Linked DNA regions of Daphnia pulex. The protein of the gene in region 1 purifies or fractionates together with the protein of each later gene. This does not show direct contact. Links are inferred from orthologs where the notes say so. Each region holds a gene or a part of one and is shown in the gene's direction. Other genes may lie near its edges.

The links.
Region 2: the proteins of protein nervous wreck-like (region 1) and neural Wiskott-Aldrich syndrome protein-like purify together in Drosophila melanogaster (affinity purification with western blotting, with the first as the bait; 3 studies listed by BioGRID). This does not show direct contact. The link is inferred for Daphnia pulex from reciprocal best matches to the Drosophila melanogaster genes nwk and WASp.

Annotation. Positions count from the first base shown.
Region 1 is NC_060027.1:8,026-16,437, forward strand, and holds the end of protein nervous wreck-like, read left to right. Parts: 5' UTR 1-369; coding exon 370-405; intron 406-519; coding exon 520-617; intron 618-698; coding exon 699-744; intron 745-895; coding exon 896-981; intron 982-1,057; coding exon 1,058-1,202; intron 1,203-1,265; coding exon 1,266-1,402; intron 1,403-1,466; coding exon 1,467-1,530; intron 1,531-1,599; coding exon 1,600-1,728; intron 1,729-1,801; coding exon 1,802-1,924; intron 1,925-1,998; coding exon 1,999-2,103; intron 2,104-2,239; coding exon 2,240-2,383; intron 2,384-2,447; coding exon 2,448-2,525; intron 2,526-2,586; coding exon 2,587-2,638; intron 2,639-2,696; coding exon 2,697-2,779; intron 2,780-2,850; coding exon 2,851-2,956; intron 2,957-3,032; coding exon 3,033-3,265; intron 3,266-3,331; coding exon 3,332-4,042; intron 4,043-4,115; coding exon 4,116-4,251; intron 4,252-4,323; coding exon 4,324-4,413; intron 4,414-4,475; coding exon 4,476-4,513; and 4 more. Other genes in the region: carnitine O-palmitoyltransferase 1, liver isoform-like, read left to right, coding at 7,296-7,373, 7,436-7,498, 7,564-7,700, 7,763-8,039, 8,104-8,225, 8,292-8,412. UniProt on the Drosophila melanogaster protein: Adapter protein that provides a link between vesicular membrane traffic and the actin assembly machinery. Acts together with Cdc42 to stimulate actin nucleation mediated by WASp and the ARP2/3 complex.
Region 2 is NC_060019.1:7,008,516-7,017,542, reverse strand, and holds neural Wiskott-Aldrich syndrome protein-like, read left to right. Parts: upstream 1-3,537; 5' UTR 3,538-3,680; exon of another isoform or gene 3,681-3,697; intron 3,698-3,740; exon of another isoform or gene 3,741-3,886; 5' UTR 3,887-3,905; coding exon 3,906-4,007; intron 4,008-4,075; coding exon 4,076-4,303; intron 4,304-4,375; coding exon 4,376-4,472; intron 4,473-4,533; coding exon 4,534-4,820; intron 4,821-4,920; coding exon 4,921-5,706; 3' UTR 5,707-6,124; downstream 6,125-9,027. Other genes in the region: wiskott-Aldrich syndrome protein-like, read left to right, coding at 1,331-1,435, 1,497-1,724, 1,794-1,881, 1,957-2,240; pleckstrin homology domain-containing family J member 1-like, read right to left, coding at 2,438-2,671, 2,740-2,803, 2,866-3,035, 3,103-3,238, 3,306-3,355; uncharacterized protein LOC124190376, read right to left, coding at 6,254-7,225, 7,303-7,569.

The DNA of each region.
Region 1 (8,412 bases):
CGCAGTTGTGTGTTTGCCAACCAGATGGCGTTCACGCGATTTAATGCCGAAGCGCGCGCGCGCGCACTGCCGAATCGATTTCCGATTTCTTCTTCCTCTCCCCCGCCTCCCTCTCCCGGCCGATGTTTCCTCGCATGTCGTGAGTGTAAAAGTGTACGGGCCCCGGTCAGTGCGAAAAAAAAAAAGCAACGCACCCGCACGACGAAAAAAGTAAAAATTAATTGGCGGCGAGTGGCCGACTGGGACAGACAGAACTTACGGGTGAAACCATATTTCCGGTTGAAAGTGAATTCAATCCATTTTTTACCTGAACATTGATGTCACTTTAATTCAAGCCAAGAGTTTCAAGTGTTTCAAAACGAGTGTAGAATGTCGACGACGCAGCAACAACCGCCACCGCGAAAGGTTTTTATAATATTTCAATCGATCTTCTCTCTCTCTCCTCTGCCTATTGTGATGTAAAAATTCTTCTCTTCCTGTGCGCCTCCCCTTCTGGGAAATTTCTCCTTTTATACGCAGGGCAATTATGCAAAGGTATTGAGAAATTTGCATGCGGAGCAGTTGTCCAAGGTACAATGGAAACACCAACAGGAATGCGAACTCCTAGAAGACTTGCGGTATGTTCGTACACTTAAAAGTCATTCGATAAAGTGCATCTGTTTAATTGTGTGTTTTCTTTTTCTTGTGAAAATGACTAGAAATTTCATCAAGCAAAGATGCGCCGTCGAGAAATCCTACGGCGAGGTAGGCCTATAGACACACACAGGAAATATCGATCCCTACACATAATATACTGGCCGTGTAGCATAGATACATTATACATCGAGCTATTGATTGACGGATGTTATATACATTCTCCCCTTCTTTTTTTGACTCTTTGATGACATGCCCGCAGGCCATGCAGAAGATATCGGCCAATTACCTCAACAAGAAAATGCCGCCCATTCACGAACTGAATCACGACGAAATCAACCAGCAATGGTATTAACTCACCCTGGGATATTTCTATTGATGTATAAACAAAAATTGTTAATCGATTGTATTTGATTGACTACAGGACGGTTTGGTCAATATGGAGATCTTTGCTGGAGGAAACGGATAAATTGGCAAAGGCCAAATTGGCCGCTGTCGAAATATTCCAAACGCAAATCGCAGACGACGTGAAAATCGTCCGTCAAAACAAACTCCAACTGGCTAAAAAGGTAAAAACCCCTAATTTTCGATTATAGACACCTGAGATTTTACTTTTACGAATGAATCCCCAGAATCTGGACCTATTGAAAGTGGTGCAAGGTGAAGTGCAAACTTGCGTGACTGAATTGGACAAATTGAAAAAAGTTTACGTCGACGACGAACATGTCAGTCACGACGCTCGTGACAAGGCCCGTGAAGCTGAGGAAAAGTATGCTGACCATTTGAACTGCAATTCAATCCATTATTTTAATTCAAATTGTTTTTATTTTTAGGCTAAAGAAGAAAAAGGGTAGCATCTTCCAGTCGGTTTCCTCTTTACAGAAGACATCGGCCAAAGTAGGTGTCAAATGTTTGGTTCATTTTTAAAAATCCTGATCAATTCAATTTTATATTTGCATTGGCCAGTTGGGGAGTCGAAGGGATTTGTGTGAGGAGAAATCGACTCAAGCCAGAAACGCCTACCTGCTTCAACTTGCTTCAGCCAACGCCCATCAGAATCGATACTTTCACGTTGATTTGCAAAACGTCGTCAAGGTACCATCTTTAATAAACAATCTTTTGATCAACGGCGTACTGACATTTTTCGTCTGATTAATCCAATTTGCAGACGTTAGACGGCGGAATGTACGAAAAAGTGGCCGAATACTTTTCCATTATGAGTCGGACGGAACTTTATACTTGCTCCGCCTCTCAATTCTCTTTCGGCAAAATTAAAGAGCAAGCCCAAACCGTACGTTGTTATTACTTTACCAACCCAATCTAATTAGCGAAATCTTATTTCCTTTCTGTCCATTTATTTTATAGATCAATCGCGACTACGACCTGGCCTGTTTCGTCGACGCCTTCCCAATTCTCAATCAGCATATCACTTACGACTTTGAGCCTTGTGACAATGACGTCATCACGACGGTCAGTTTGCCTCGCCATCTAACGAATAAAATCGATAATTGCTTTTTCAAATCAAAGATGGCGTCTGTGTCAACAAAACACACGAGTCGAATAATCACCAACTTTTCGTTCGAAATTTTTCGTTGATTAAAAACAGGTGGATCAAGCTCACGGAGCTGGTGCCGGATTGATTCAGAGTGGAAAACAATATGCATCTCGTGTCGCCCAAGAATCCAAAAAGATCAGAGAATCGACGAGGACACTGCAAACTCTACAGGGCATGAAAGAGAGTGGCTTGAAGGTTTCTATTTTTCCCAAACTTTTTGTTTGAATGTATAGTTACTATTGTTTTCTTTGTTCTGCAGAGTGATCCGAATGAACCCAACGGACCTGATATTGACGCCAAAATCGATGAAATAAAAAACCAATTGAGGCGCTCAGAGGTATTGGACTTGTAGTAATATTGCTTTTGTGCAGCCATCTCGACATGTTTACATTTCTTAGACTGCCAAAATAAAAGCTGAGGCTCGATTGGAGTGCCTTCATGCTGGTGGAGGTAAATTGTTTAAATTCACACCTCCCAAATTTCTGACTAACATTTGATTCATGTGCAGTCAAAGTAGATGAATTCCTTCAAGACGCAGAGGGTCTGGTGACTCTTGGATTGATGAGATCTTCTAGCCAGCTTTCTTTCCGAGTATGTTTTGCCTTAGAAACACCTTCATGAATCATTCAAATCAAAAGTTTATTTTCAATATTGAAATGAAGGAATCGGCTCACGAGGAATCTGAATTCTCCGACAGCGGCTCTCGCGCTGGTGCTGAAACAACTCAGCAGGATGAAGAAGAGGAAGAAGCTGCTGACGAAGCTTTCGGTAAAAAATCTATTATGCATATGCCAGTCAGATCAGTCTGGAATGACTAATGAGTTGCATTTGATTTTCAAAATAGTCGAGCAAGTGGTACAGCAGCAAATTGCTGAAATGCAGGCAACGTGGCAAGATCCGACGGCCGCCTGGGATACAACCGACGCCTGGGGAGACGACGCCGCTCAGCTCAACACTTCCGCCGCCAACACGACCACCACGTCTGTACAAATTGAAACTGCCAGCAGCGTCACGGATTCGGTGCATGCCAGTGGAGATGCCAGCGTCATCAAATGCATCGCGTTCTATCCCTACACGGTACGTTGATATCATTTTTATAGTTCCTTTTTGATCTTTCAATTTATTCCTCCGTTTGGGAAATAGGCACAAAATGCGGACGAGCTTTCCATGATGGAAAACGAAGAGCTGGAAGTGTTGCTGGCCTTTTCCGAAGGCGACGGATGGGTCAAAGCCCGGAATTACAAGGGAGAGGAAGGCTACGTGCCTGAAAATTACCTGGACCTGCACGCCGACGATCAGGTGCCGTGTGGAGGTGACGAGGACGCCAACCAGAACGTCCATCAACATCCAGCTATTGCGGAGGAAGTCGAGCCGGAAGAAGGGCACGAGGAAGAGGAAGAAGAAATCGTTAGTGCAGAAGCGGAAGGAGGTTACCCGTTGGAGAACCAAATTTCCTTTTCTTCAGTCGACTACACGTACCAGCAGCAAGGAATGAGCGCCGAAGAAGAAGATGAGTTCCCTGGGCCGACCGAAAGCGCTCCTTTACCTCCACCTCCTCCACCCATTGCTGCCCCAGTCGTGGAATCATCTCCAGTTCCTGCCGCTGATGGCCAAACAAACCGAATCATCGGCTACTGCCGGGCCATGTACGACTACGACGCCACGTCTGATGAGGAGTTGACCTTTTACGAAGGTGAAGTCATCGCCATTTTCCGTCGATCCGGTGCTCTACACGATCAGGACGTCGACGATGGATGGTGGGAGGGTCAGCTCCTAACGGACGGTACTCGAGGCGTCTTCCCTTCTTTGGTTGTCGAAGAATGCGGTCCCAACGGCGAAGAATTGACGCCAAAAGTAAAACATTTGATTATTTCGATGATAACAAGTATGGCAGAATATTTATTAACGTAATGGATTGGACTCACAGGTGTCGCCTGCAACACCTGAAGAGGAATCAGTGCCTCCGCCGGGCAGCCCTCCAGTTGTTCCTACTTTCCTCCTGCCTCCTGAACGGGTCATAATCACGCAACCTACTCCCGAGACGGAATTCCCTGATGATCATGGTACAACAAATAGTCCCTCATTTTCATGTAGTTGATCTGATCTTAATTGAATTTTTTTTTTGAATGATCAAGTAGAGCACATGTTCGACCAGAACGCCACCATTAAGGAAATGGATGAAGACGAAGATGATCTTGCTTCAGAAATGATCAACGTCGAGCCAGGTAAATCTTTTAATTCGATTCGAATTTTCCCCCTAATCAATTCTTTGTCATTTACTTTTTAGCCACGCCCACTGAAGAGGAGGGAAACAACAACGGCCAGGTAACATTTGGTAGAACGTTGAAAGTCCATTTCATTCTAAATCAATAATTTTTTTTTTTAATTTTAGATAACTGACGGACTGTCTGGCACTCAGATCATCGTGACGGCATCGACCCCCATGGTTGAAAACGAATTCAAATGTTTCAACCCGACAGATGAAAAGACGTCCGACGACAAGGAAAACGAAATGGAACAAGAATTCGGCGAAGAGATGGAACCGCCTCCGCCACCAGCACCGGAGCCATCAACAACCGAAACGTCGTCATCATCACTAGACCAACCGTTGCCGCCGCCAGCACCAATCGCTGACGAGACTGTGGTCAGAAAAGGATTCGACGACGAGTTTGTCCAACTGGAAACTGCCAAGGAATCTTACGCCTAGAGAAGAACCCACATTATCTGTATGGGCCCTCATGCATTTCAACTGCTGCTCATTGAGCAATAATTGTTTTTTACATTCCTCCCCAATAACCTTTTTGAAAAACACACACACTCACCATTCCATTCTCCACTCCAATTCAGGTCCAGCAAATAATTAACATCACAGAGAGGCTTTCATTTGCGGGTTGTTCCCATTGTAACGTAAAATAGTAAGTTTTTTTTTCTTCAGGTGCACAACGGGACATTATTATATACAAACCAACTCCTTTGATTCATTTTCATAGAAGCTTGTCAAAATATCTTTTACATGTTCAAGGCATTTGTCAAACATTTGCCCTTAGTCTGGATGATGATCTCATTCTATTAGTCCCAGCAGTCGATTCCATGTCGTTTAAAAAAAAATTGATAGGTGTCATCCCTTGATTGGTTCGATAAAGAAAAACGATTGCGAAATTCCTGTTCGATTACATAGGCAATTCTCCAACCCTTTTACAAATAACAAATTCGAAAAAAGAAAAAAAACAAAACAAGATTTCTATTTGCTTATTATCCAGGTGTTTCAATGCTGATGTCAACTCATTTGTAAGATAAGAGGAGTCAACTAGTCCAACCGTAACTTATTTCCAATTAATTATATTTATTTTCACTAGTCCATTTCCATATTCTCCAAACATTTGTCATATTTTAGATTTACAACAAGTCAAGTTTTTATTTCAAAATAACTTAACACTTGTAGTGTCTGTGGGAAAATTGTAAACCAGATAATAATGAGATTTTTAAAAAGTAATCGTAAATACTCTCCTCCTTTTCATTTTGTGACAATATTTCATTTGCGTGTGTGTGTGTAAGATCCGCTGCTATATCGTCGTTTGACATTTGAGATTACTGTTCTTAATTCTGAGCTCCTTATTACCTTGGTCATTCCCCAATACACACAGTCTCACCCCCCCACTTTGTCTAATCCATTTGATTTTTGCGTGAAAAATTCAGGTGCATCACGCCACCCGAGGCGAGAGAAGCGCGTTTGTAAACTAGGTTCATTAATTAAGATAAAGTTAGGAATAACACTGTTCACCGCAACATTTATTTTTTAATGATTTTAAGTTTGATTAGCCATTTAGTAAACCGTAGTAAACATATATAGTTAAAAAAGATAACAAACTTTAGTCTACACAATCACGACAGTCACGCATGGATGGGAGTCCTCTAGCGCTCGATTAAACTACTAAAGGATCGGCGAAATTTCCAGCTAGTCGTACTCCATGACCTCGACAATGAGTTGGCTGCAAATAACTAGTTAAACGTCGCATTTCCTTTCTGGTGTCATCACAAGTCCTGAAGGACACGCGCAAAAGTAACTTTGATTATATTTTGTTTCATTCTCAAAGCCAGAAACGACGGGATTATATTTAAGCTTCCCTGAGGCTTTTGCCAAAAACAACAGGCAATTATGCACAAAATGAAAGAAAATATGATGTGAGACCTTGAAAAGATCAAATAAAAGAATGCAAAATAGAAACAATTTCTCTTTTCCGGAAAAACATTCGCCACAACTCAGGGATTTTCCTAAAGAATGCTGGGATGGTAAATAAAAAAAAACCCGTACCGTTATCAGTCTGTCAATAATTGTGTCACGTGTAAAATTACAGATAGTAAATATTTTGAGGACATAAAATAACAATTGAATGGATTGATTATTTAACAAAAGGAATAAAAAAAGCTGAGTGTTATGTTTGAATAGCCATTGATGATTTGGCAACCTTGATTCACCACGAGAAGAGGAAATTCTCCCGGACGTTCAACCCGGGAAAGAAAAAAAACCTTTTATTATACAACACACGAACGCCGAGTGCTGTGACTTCACCTAATTTCGGCAACCAACCTGCTTTCTGCGTTCAAGACGAGCCCCCATAAGCCCCGTTACATTGCCTTAAGAGAGTCCCAATATTCATTCGCCTCACAGACGGCGAATCGTCTGCCTGCACCAGATAGCTACAACAACCCAAAGTTGTTTTACCTGCTGCCCCACATTTGCCGTAATTTTTAAACTCTCAACGAGCTACATACGTTTCAATCAGGTAATTTAAACCAGCCTTGGCTTAATCATGTGTAAATCGCTTCTTTCGTTGAATCTCCGTAGTAGAAACGAGTTGGTTTGTTTCAGTTTTATTATTAGCCAAGTTCAACAGCCTTCAGCACGTCGATAGTAAGTTGTAAACATACGTTTCTCTTCTACTTTCTCCCGTTCGTTTTATGGTTTTATTCATACCCTTTGGTCGCGTTACACGGTATTATGCGTTTTGTCTAGTGCTTGGATTATGCAGTTCATTGGATGATTTGAATCGCAGACTTGGTAATCATTGCTTGTTTCATTTGCTGGTTTCAACAGATTCACTGAAAGATGGCGGAGGGACATCAAGCTGTTGCCTTCTCGTTTGCCATCACCCATGAAGGTTTGGACGTCAACTTTGACTTTGAGGTAAAATCTATGCAATTGCAATGCTTTGTTTTGTGACGGTCAAAATGGTTTTTCTACTTCAGGTCATTAGGCTTATTGCCAGAAGTGCTGTTCGCTCATGGAGGAAGAGGGGACTTCGTTTTCAGGTTCAGAAATGTTCTGAATGCCTAGCAATTGTGCCCGACTAATCTTTCAATTTTAAACCTTACAGACAAACCTCAAGTCCAACTTTTTCCCAGGTTCTCTTCGCTCCCTGGTTATGACTGAGGCTGTTTTTATTGGTGCAGAAAAGTCAGGATATGATTTGACATGTGGACTAACTGATAAGCTAATTGTCCACTTCCCCAAGTATTTAACCAATGGATTTACTTTTTAATTAAAATAGTACTAATTTCTCTATTGAAAAATAGGAATTCTGTCGAATATCGGGTGCTGTGTTCAGCCATTCTAGGTCTTGCCGGCTGGGCTGGAGTCATTTTTTCGCTGAGACAATTGATGGGTTTGTTGCTCAAGTATCATGGATGGATGTACGAGGAAAGAGGTGCCGGTAGACAAGTCAGTTTACCTACTCGAGCCTGGTTTTTGGCCATGCAACCATTCTTCCGCCTCTTCCAACCGCAGCTCTACTCGTTTCAAGGCATGTTACCCACTCTTCCCGTTCCGTCATTGTCTTCCACTCGTGAAAAGGTTTGTATCAACTTGTCAATTTGACAAATATCGATGAGTGCTTGACTATTTGTATCTTATTTAGTATTTGAGAAGTGTCCGGCCGCTGCTGGATGACGCCCAGTACTCCCGCATGGAAAAGTTGTCACTGGAATTTGTTCGTGGTATTGGACAAAAGCTGCAGCGCTATCTCTACTTGAAGCGAATGTAAAACATTTGTTTGTTCCTTAATTTGAAAAATATTTTAATCAAACCAAATGCGAATGATTTTAGGTGGTCAACCAATTACGTTTCCGATTGGTGGGAGGAATACGTTTACTTGCGTGGCCGTTCTCCCATCATGGTCAACTCTAATTTTTACGGAATAGACACTCTTTTCAAGCATCCGACCAGA
Region 2 (9,027 bases), on another chromosome or scaffold:
TTTGAGTTAAAAATAAAATGTGAATGTCCAAAGCGAGGACAACACAGGTGCAGGTAGCAACGTCATCAACGAACAGCGGAGAGCGAGCTATGAGCGAAGACAAGCTACTTTAGCATTCTTATATATCTACACAAACGCCGGTTGGCTAGTGTGCTGAATTTACCGTTAAGGCGTTGCTTGCATAACAGCATTGTTGTGCCAACAGCTAGTAAGAGACATAAAATTCTAGCAAACGGGAAATACCCTTGGATGAACTTGCCTTCTGCACTGCTTGCCAAAATAAGGCCTCCGCCAAACTATCGTGCCCCGAAGCCAATCATAAAGAAAGTCTAAAGGAAGTGGGCAATCTTTCATAGTCTGCACGGCGTATCAAACAGATATCTATGCATACATCTATTTGTTGAAGACATGCAAGAAACCGTTTCGACCGGATTTGAAAAATAAACGGACCCAAAATCCATTTCCAGCAACAATAGCTATTATACAGTTATTTGATTGTTTATTGATTTACAATATGAGAATGCAATTGCACCTAATATATGCACTTGAGAATATTAATTTTTATATTTATTGGCCTAGTAGAATATTACTCTTGATATGACATGACGACCAAACGAGCAGCACAGGAACAGAAGCATAAATATTTGATGGCGACATTGTTACGTTCCCGTTAAACAATAAAACACGTCAAGTGTAGAAAGGAATCCGATGACGATACCTACATTATGTCAGACTTCTATTGCAATCATTTTTATCAAAAAGAACTAGGCTAATATCAGGAGCTGAATAGGAAAACTGGGGGGAAATAGGGAAAAGAATTTAAAAGTCTCAAAGAAAGACCGACGAAGAATTTCGCAATTGTTTTCCTTAATTCTGGGAATTAAATAAAGCGTTAAAACGAAGCCAAAACTTTTGTTACATATTCTAGCCGCTGATCTGTAAATCACCTGACATTTTCAAGATGCACGTATCCTAACGAGACAAATAATAAATAACAAAAAAAAAGAAATAATGATTAGCGAAGAAATTCAAGTTTAAACGCGTCATTATCACATTGTGATCAAACACATCATCGTCAAAACAACGTTCAGGTCAACAAAATAATCCAGGTAGTCGAAATTTGTCGGGCACGCAAGACTATACTTATCTCTTGTGATAGTGACAATAATGCAACCCACACGTTAGAAAAGTAGCCAGCCAGTTCATGTGGCCTTAGACAGCCGCTAGCAACCGACTAGAACGCCGGCGATAATAACAGGCTCCTGTATCCAATTTATTCACGCATTGAGAAGCCGGCGGAAAACTCGATCAAATCTTTATGCAATAAAATATGGGAGCTTCTAAAACATTCAAGTCACGTCGGAATTGTCCTTCCCGACTGTTGTCCAACGAAGAAAACACGCAACTGAATGAGATTATTGGAGCACAATGCAAAGTAAGAATTACCGCTTTTAAAAATTTATTACTATTGGTGATTGTAAATGTTTCTTTTGTAGAGCGCTGCCACCACTGTTGTCCAGCTCTTTTTGCCCGAGCCACCTGAATACACGCAGTGGACGAAGGAAGACTGCGGGATTTTGTGTTTGATAGAAGACAGCAACTGTAATTTCTGGCTAAAAATATTTTGTCTGGTCCGACGTCAAGTTATTTGGCAGCAAAAGCTTCACGAAAACGTAGTCTATCACGCACCAGCTCCATATTTTCACACCGTGAGCTCCAGCAACGTGAGTCAATTCGCCAAACTCTTTCACCTATTTACTATTTTTTTAAATATTTGAATTATTAAAAATTAGAATACTCAAATTGGTCTCAACTTTGCCGACGAAGCTGAAGCTTCAATCTTTCTTAGAACTGTCAGAGCTTATCTACTAAAAAATAAAGGTATTAAGGACAACATCAAACACTATTTCACATGATCCCGAGATGACATTCAAATCTGATTTTTTAATTCCACAGCAAACACGAAGGACGACACCTTCAGCGTCAGTCCCCCAAAAGATTTTCGCTTAATCAGTCACATTGGATGGGATAAACGAAAAGGATTTATTCTGTACAATGTTGATAACCAATTGATTCAAACATTCTTGACCGGCTTTTGCAACCGAATCAGTAACTGCACACCAAAAGAAAATAACCATCAACGTTCACGGCCACGCAGCTTCAAAAGAAAGAAGATTTCTAAAAACGACATTAGTTTGCCTGTTGATGTCAATGTGATACAGCGGAATAGCCAATTGTAACAAGTGCAAACCAATGCGACGAACGAGAGGCAGTTTTTCTTTGAGCCATTATTTAATGACTAGATTTCGAAAATCAGCCGAACATAACTTAATTTGCTTAATAGAGGAATGTTAATATTAATTACACAAATCTATCTAAATCTCTTTATGATTGGCACGTTTTTTTTAAGTCGGACGGTTGTTTTTTTCATCACTAATCACCATTTGATCAAGTCTTGATCAGGCTGTTTGTTATCACTTATGAAAGAATTTATCGGCAGGGGATTTTCGTCAGACATGTGACTCACAAATGTTTTTGCTTTAGGCCCGATACGTTTTCTGGCTGGGGGCGTAGGTAAAGCGGGAACTGCAGAATTGGAAGGCTGTTTAAATACACTACTTGGTGTAGTACTACTTGATGATGCTGCTGTGGTACTCCATTTAAAAATGCTCTGAACATACCAAAGATTTTATCATTTTAACAATAATTTTCCCTTAAAATTTTTCCTTTTAAACTTACCTTTCCACCAAGACTTTCCAGTTTACTCTCTAAAATTTTGACTTGGATTCTCAAATGTTCATAACTAAATAAAAATTAATTTTATGTCAGCACTGTCCATGTATGAATTATTATGAAAAATTTTACCTGGCTTGCCTCAAGGCTATGACCCAATTCTGTGCTTGATTCACACTGAAGCAAGAGAACACATGTCTGTCTTGATCACCAGAGAAAGTAACAACAAAAGCAAATACCCCAGATCCATCTTCATCAAATGCTACGGAGCAATTTTCTAAAACTATCACACCAATAGGCTCCTGCAAATGAAATTTTAACAGCTTAAAAATGAGACCAAAATTCTTATTTTCTGTACTTCAAACCTACATTTCCTTTAATTCCTCCAAAATTGTTCAAACCGAAGTAAAAAAGAAGATTGCCTGTCAATTTAAACCAGAATTCCTTGAAATTTCCTTTCGACTTTCCCGGATGAAGAACTCTGTAATTTATTCTTCCTTCAATCCTATTTCAAAAAGAATTTTTGTATAATAGTCATCGTATTTATTCTAATACACAATCTAATGTCTCACGTCGCAGGTTTGAAGGAGGTGGTTATTAATTCTTTTCCATTCACATGCATTTTGGTTTAAAGAATCACTGAAAAAAATATATATATTCATCAACAAGATAAAAAATAATGATATATGGAGCAAATCGAATGAAGAGATAAAAGCACAAAAAGATGAAGTTCTTAGAAATGAAAGGCGATCAACATTCCGAACATGAAGTAAACAACTGATCCCAACCCGTGATTCTCATAGCGTTTATGAATTTACCGCTAGATGGAATTGTTTCGTCCTGTCTGATGTGGACCAAACCATTGGACCGTATTGGACTATTTCCTCAAGATAAAACTCTCGTATCTTAAAATTGTGAAACACCGTGTGTAGATCTTCATGAGACTGGTAAGGGAGTGACTGCCGTAAGTGTTTATGAAATAAGCGTATAAATAATAATTCAATTGAATGATAATCGTGAAAAATTCGTTCAAACAATAAGAACTACTTATCCTTATTTACAGTTGTGTGACAGTTACAATTTAATATAAATTTGTCGATGTGTTTACTAGTTTTCGATCGAAAGTTTAATTGACACATTTTGAAAAATCTAGAACCAGTAATAACATTGCCATGACTGCTGCCAAGCGTCCCCAACCTGAAAACAAACCATCATCTATTCTTTCACTAGAAGAAAATGATCAATTATTTAAACTCATTGGCTTGCGCTGCAAAGTAAGTCCCCCCAGTACTAGATTCTTCTAAAAGTCAACATTTAATGTTTTGTAATTTTTCTTTTTCAGAGTATGGCGTCAGCTGTGGTTCAGGTCTGTTTTGCTGATCCACCCAATAGATCCACATGGAACAAACGGCATTGTGGTGTAGTCTGCTTCATCAAAGATAATATCAAGAGATCCTATTTCCTTAGAGTATTTTGCCTCGACAGGCAATCTGCCATCTGGGAGCAAGAATTGTACAGTTCTTTTGACTACTGTGCACCAAGACCTTACTTTCACACTTTTGAGGGAGATGTGAGTCCTGACATTCATTTGATCATATTAGTAAATTACAATATCAATTTGGTTAATATTTTTCGAATGCAGGAATGTCGCATCGGGTTTAATTTTGCTAATGAAGGCGAGGCAGAATACTTTCTGATGGCTATCAAAGAATATTTGAGGATGAAATCGGAGAAACGAGGTGTGTACATTTTGATGTTGACAAATAATGGTTGATTAATAGCTCAGTTGTTGTGTTTTAGAACGCCGTCGTTTATCACAGCAGCAAGTGCAGCAACCGCAACCAGGAAAACCCACGCCAGTCGCCACGAACGGATCGGTACCAAAATCTACAGCAGTACGATCAGCGACAATCACAAACAGTATAACCGTGACAAAAAAAGGGAAGAAAGACAAGAACAAGAAAATTACCAAAGCGGATATTGGAGGGCCATCAGATTTCAAACACATCAGTCACGTTGGATGGGACCCCAATCAAGGATTTGCACTTGACAACGTCGATCCAAATCTGTTGAAGTTCTTCGCCAGAGTAAGACGACTATTTCGCTCAGCATTTCTGTGTTTAACTTTTCTATGGTCTTAACTTAACTTCTGTTATGGTTTAACTTTTTTTTCTTTTGTAATGAAAGGCCGGCATATCGGAGAATCACTTGAAAGACAAAGCAACACGTGAATTCATCTACGATTTTATCGACAAACATGGAGGAAAAGAAGCGGCTATTCGTGAGATTTCGAGTTTACAGTCATCCGGCGGCAGTTTGTTTTCAGCACCTCCGGTGCCAGCAAGGAATCCTCCGTCTACACCTCAGACGGCAAGGATCGCTCCTCCGGCACCACCCGTTTCAGCTCCACCGCCGCCACCTTCAAGAGTGATTGCCTCCCCTCCATCTGTTGCTCCTCCAGCACCTCCTCAACGTGCCCCACCACCGAAAATGGCACCAATTAACAACGTTGCACCCCCACCACCTCCTGTCGGTGCACCTCCTCCTCCTCCACCACCTCCACCGCCTCCTTCATTTGGTGGACCTCCTGCTCCTCCTGTTCCTTCATTTGTTGTTTCGTCTCCGTCACTCCCACCCACTCCAGCTCAACCCGATGTCCGTGGCGCCCTGATGGACGCCATCAAAGAGGGACACAAACTCAAATCGGTGCCGAGTGATGCCGATCAATCGATGAAGAGTGGCGCTAAAGTGCCAGCCTTCGATTCACGCAACGATTTGTTGGGTCAAATAAGAGCAGGAAAGGAACTGAAACCCGTGGAGAAAAAGGCTTCTGTTGTTGCCGTCAGCGACGATGTCATGGAAGGTATGGCCGGTGCCTTGGCCAGGGCCTTGGAGGAAAGATGTCGTGTCATCCATTCCGACAGTGATGAAAGCGGCCAGGACCCAGATGAAGATGACGATTGGGACGATTAATAAAATTTTTGTGAAAATCGTTCCCTATATCAAAAGCAGTCCTCGAGTTTGACGTAGTATTATTTTAAAGAGACTTATTAGTCTTTTATCTTTCACTGGAATTTAATTATTTGCAATATTGCTTCTGCCTAAATCTTCCAGTGGTACAAGCTATCCATTTACATGTTTAAGCCGCACAAAGAATCTTTTAAATAACCGCAACCCAACTGTGACAGCCGTTGCACATATTGCTATTTGCAAGTTAGAGTTAAAAAAAAAATAAAAAAATAATTCATTTGGGTAGTTGTGTGTGAATGATGTGCCTACTTATTAGAATGAAATGTGTTTCTGTTTTATCCTTCTTGTTTTTGCTTTGCCTCATCTACCAATATTCTTTCTTGTTCTGAAATGAATTACACTAATGTCCTATTGTCACACATATGAAGTTCACCCAAAATTCTTAATTAAGCAATAAAAAAAAAATTATTGAATTTGAAGTTCATAGAATTTGGCCGTATTTTGGTGTATTTCTAAATAAGCTAGGAAAAATTACATAACATTTCGGATTTCATACAAATGAATGTAACAAAACCCCACCTGCAATGACTAGCGCCAGGGCTGGATAATGGTGTGTCACTGCCACGCCCAATGCTTTGACGTCATCGTGTGTTTGAATCTGTTTTTGCTTTTCCGGTTGATGGTCAACTCTGGGCTGTGCTGTCACATCTTTTGTCTCCGTCTTCAGAAATTCGCCAAGGCTCTTAACGTTTGAACACGTAATGATTCGGTTACTTGTAGGGTCAGGCGCATTCTGTACGTCACAACCTCCTCGGCTCGAACCCAGAGACTTTCCGGTCACGCCACTCTGCGTTGCTCCGCTGAATTTCAGTCCGAAATGTCCCAGCCATTCTTGACTTACAGCAGTAAAGTTAGTGGCATGAAATACTAAGGACTGATTCGAAGACATCACGTCAGGCAGAATTGAAATGTTGCTGTTCATTCCAAATTGATTGTTTTTCAAATCGATCGAATGGGAATACATGATATCCATGAGTCCGGCTGATTTTGACGAGAGCTGGACAAATTGGTTGCTATCCATTGTGAACGAGCCAGCATTAATCTTCAAACTGAGACGGTTCAAATAGCTATGATTTATGGAGACGGACCGGTCTGTTTGGGGCGAGTCTACTATTATCGTAAAATCTGTCAAGTTACACTGGACGATTTTCAGTTCGGATTTAATAGAAAGGGGAACAAGTTCTGCTTCGACGGGGAATGTGACGTTGACGAATGTCGCTGTATCGGCTACTAATTCAGACAGAGCGTCTTTGTCATAGTCGAGTTTGCCGATATTTTCCAAATTTAGACAATCCACTTGCTTTAGTGAACCAGGTCCTATGTGCAAATGTTTGACGCGAAAAACATTCAACGACTTGATGGGTAAATCTGCCAATTTTGTTTGGGCGATATCGACAAACGGACAATCAACGATGTCCAATTTCACAATGGTCGTCGGTATTTTCACTTGATTCAAATTGATCTACAGAAAAATAAATGAATATGTTTTTAAATATTTTTTTTTTAAATAAAAATCTTTTTTAAAAAAAAGATAAATACCTTTTTGAGTTTGAATTGATCGTTAATGATGCAACTGCAATTGGCTCGCTCGTGTTTCCCGTCGCAAGTACAGCCAGGCAGATTTTGACAGAGGTCCATAAACGTGTCTTTTAGACGAAAAGCTTTACGGGCGGGATCCTCATCGTCATCTACCAACTCGTCAGTAGCGTTTACGGAAATGTCTTTGCCGATATCAGCTAAGCAAACGCTAACGAGAAGGGATGTTAACAAAAAGAAACAAAACGAACGATGATTTACGGCTGACATTGCTGCTGTAAATTCGGACGCGTGAATGACTGAATTAACCGATCAGTTTCGATTTATGTTAGATGAATTTGAGCGGATGTCAACAAAGTCAAACCATTGGAACCGTTGACAAACCTGTCATCCGTTGTTTTTTTTTTTTTTCTCTTACCCAAGTTACCGCAGGATTATCTGGAATTTTGAAAAATCGGATGCACCGACTGGTTGGATTTCATCTAGAAATTGCCGAACAATTTGGTTACACGCAGCTTCCTGGCAAGGGACCTTGTTAGTAATGGATACTAATTCGTCATCTCGAGACTGCTGCGCAATTAAATTGACATAAGATGCGGTCGGCAGTGTAGCGCTCATATTTCATAACTGTTGTTCTATATTAGAACTACAGCTCACTGTATACAACCTGATGAACAATAATATTTTTAATAATAATGTCGCAACTAAGAATTGGGTCATCAACTTACTATAAGTGGACATTAGTTGGCCACTATAAATGTTTATTACTTTCTAAATTTCACAAACTGATTCTACGAAAACCAACGGTCAACAATTGAAATATAAGTAGGCATGATGGATTGTATTGCGTTTTTTGAATTGAAAGAAAACTATGGGTGAAGGACTATTACATTTTGTAGGATAATTTTTAAAACAATGCATGGACATTATTCACATTCCCACCAAAATAAATGTTGCAAAAATAAGGGAAAACAAAGACGAAGTTGCAGAACTAGAAGAACTGGGTGGGCGCTGAAATAAAGGTTTAAACTTGCCGGAACGAACGAAATCTTTCATTGACTGCGGGTCGGGACAATAGATTTGATACTTTTGCGGGCTAGTCCCCCAAACCCATTTCTCTTTGCATTCATTGACACCCCTGTTTGTTTTATTCGGGGCCATGATACCTTTAAAATCGAAAGTGAAAACCTTTAGCCACTTTTCAGCTGATTCTGCCATAGTTTGGTTGGCCTTTTTGTCATCAGGGAAGATAACGTCCATGACGCCCCTATCTTGAACATTAAAGCGAATGTTAGGCATCGACTCTTTATCGAAAGTGTTGTTGCTGAGCTCCAGTGATTTGTAAAACTCCACCCTGGTGCTGGGTGCTACATTTTCCAACTCACATTCTGGCTTTTCACGTATTCTACCTTCTGGAACTAGCGGGACGTCCGTAGGAATAGTACAGAGACTTGGGAAGTTGTTTCCAATCAATTCAAAGCGATCAGCTCTGATGGTCGATTTCAAACCTTCGAGTGTACAACCGCGAAAGCTAACTGTGAGATTGGTTACATCAGTTTGCTTTATTTGAATTTCCATGTCGGTCGACAGTTTGGAATCCCGAAATTCCAAAGTTGATTGGATTCTTTGGGGGCTAATGACTCCAACGTGTTTGAAATTGTCCATGCTGTTTTTGTTAAAGGTGACGTTTACGAAACGGAGGGATTCAGCATCTAAATGATCAAAGGC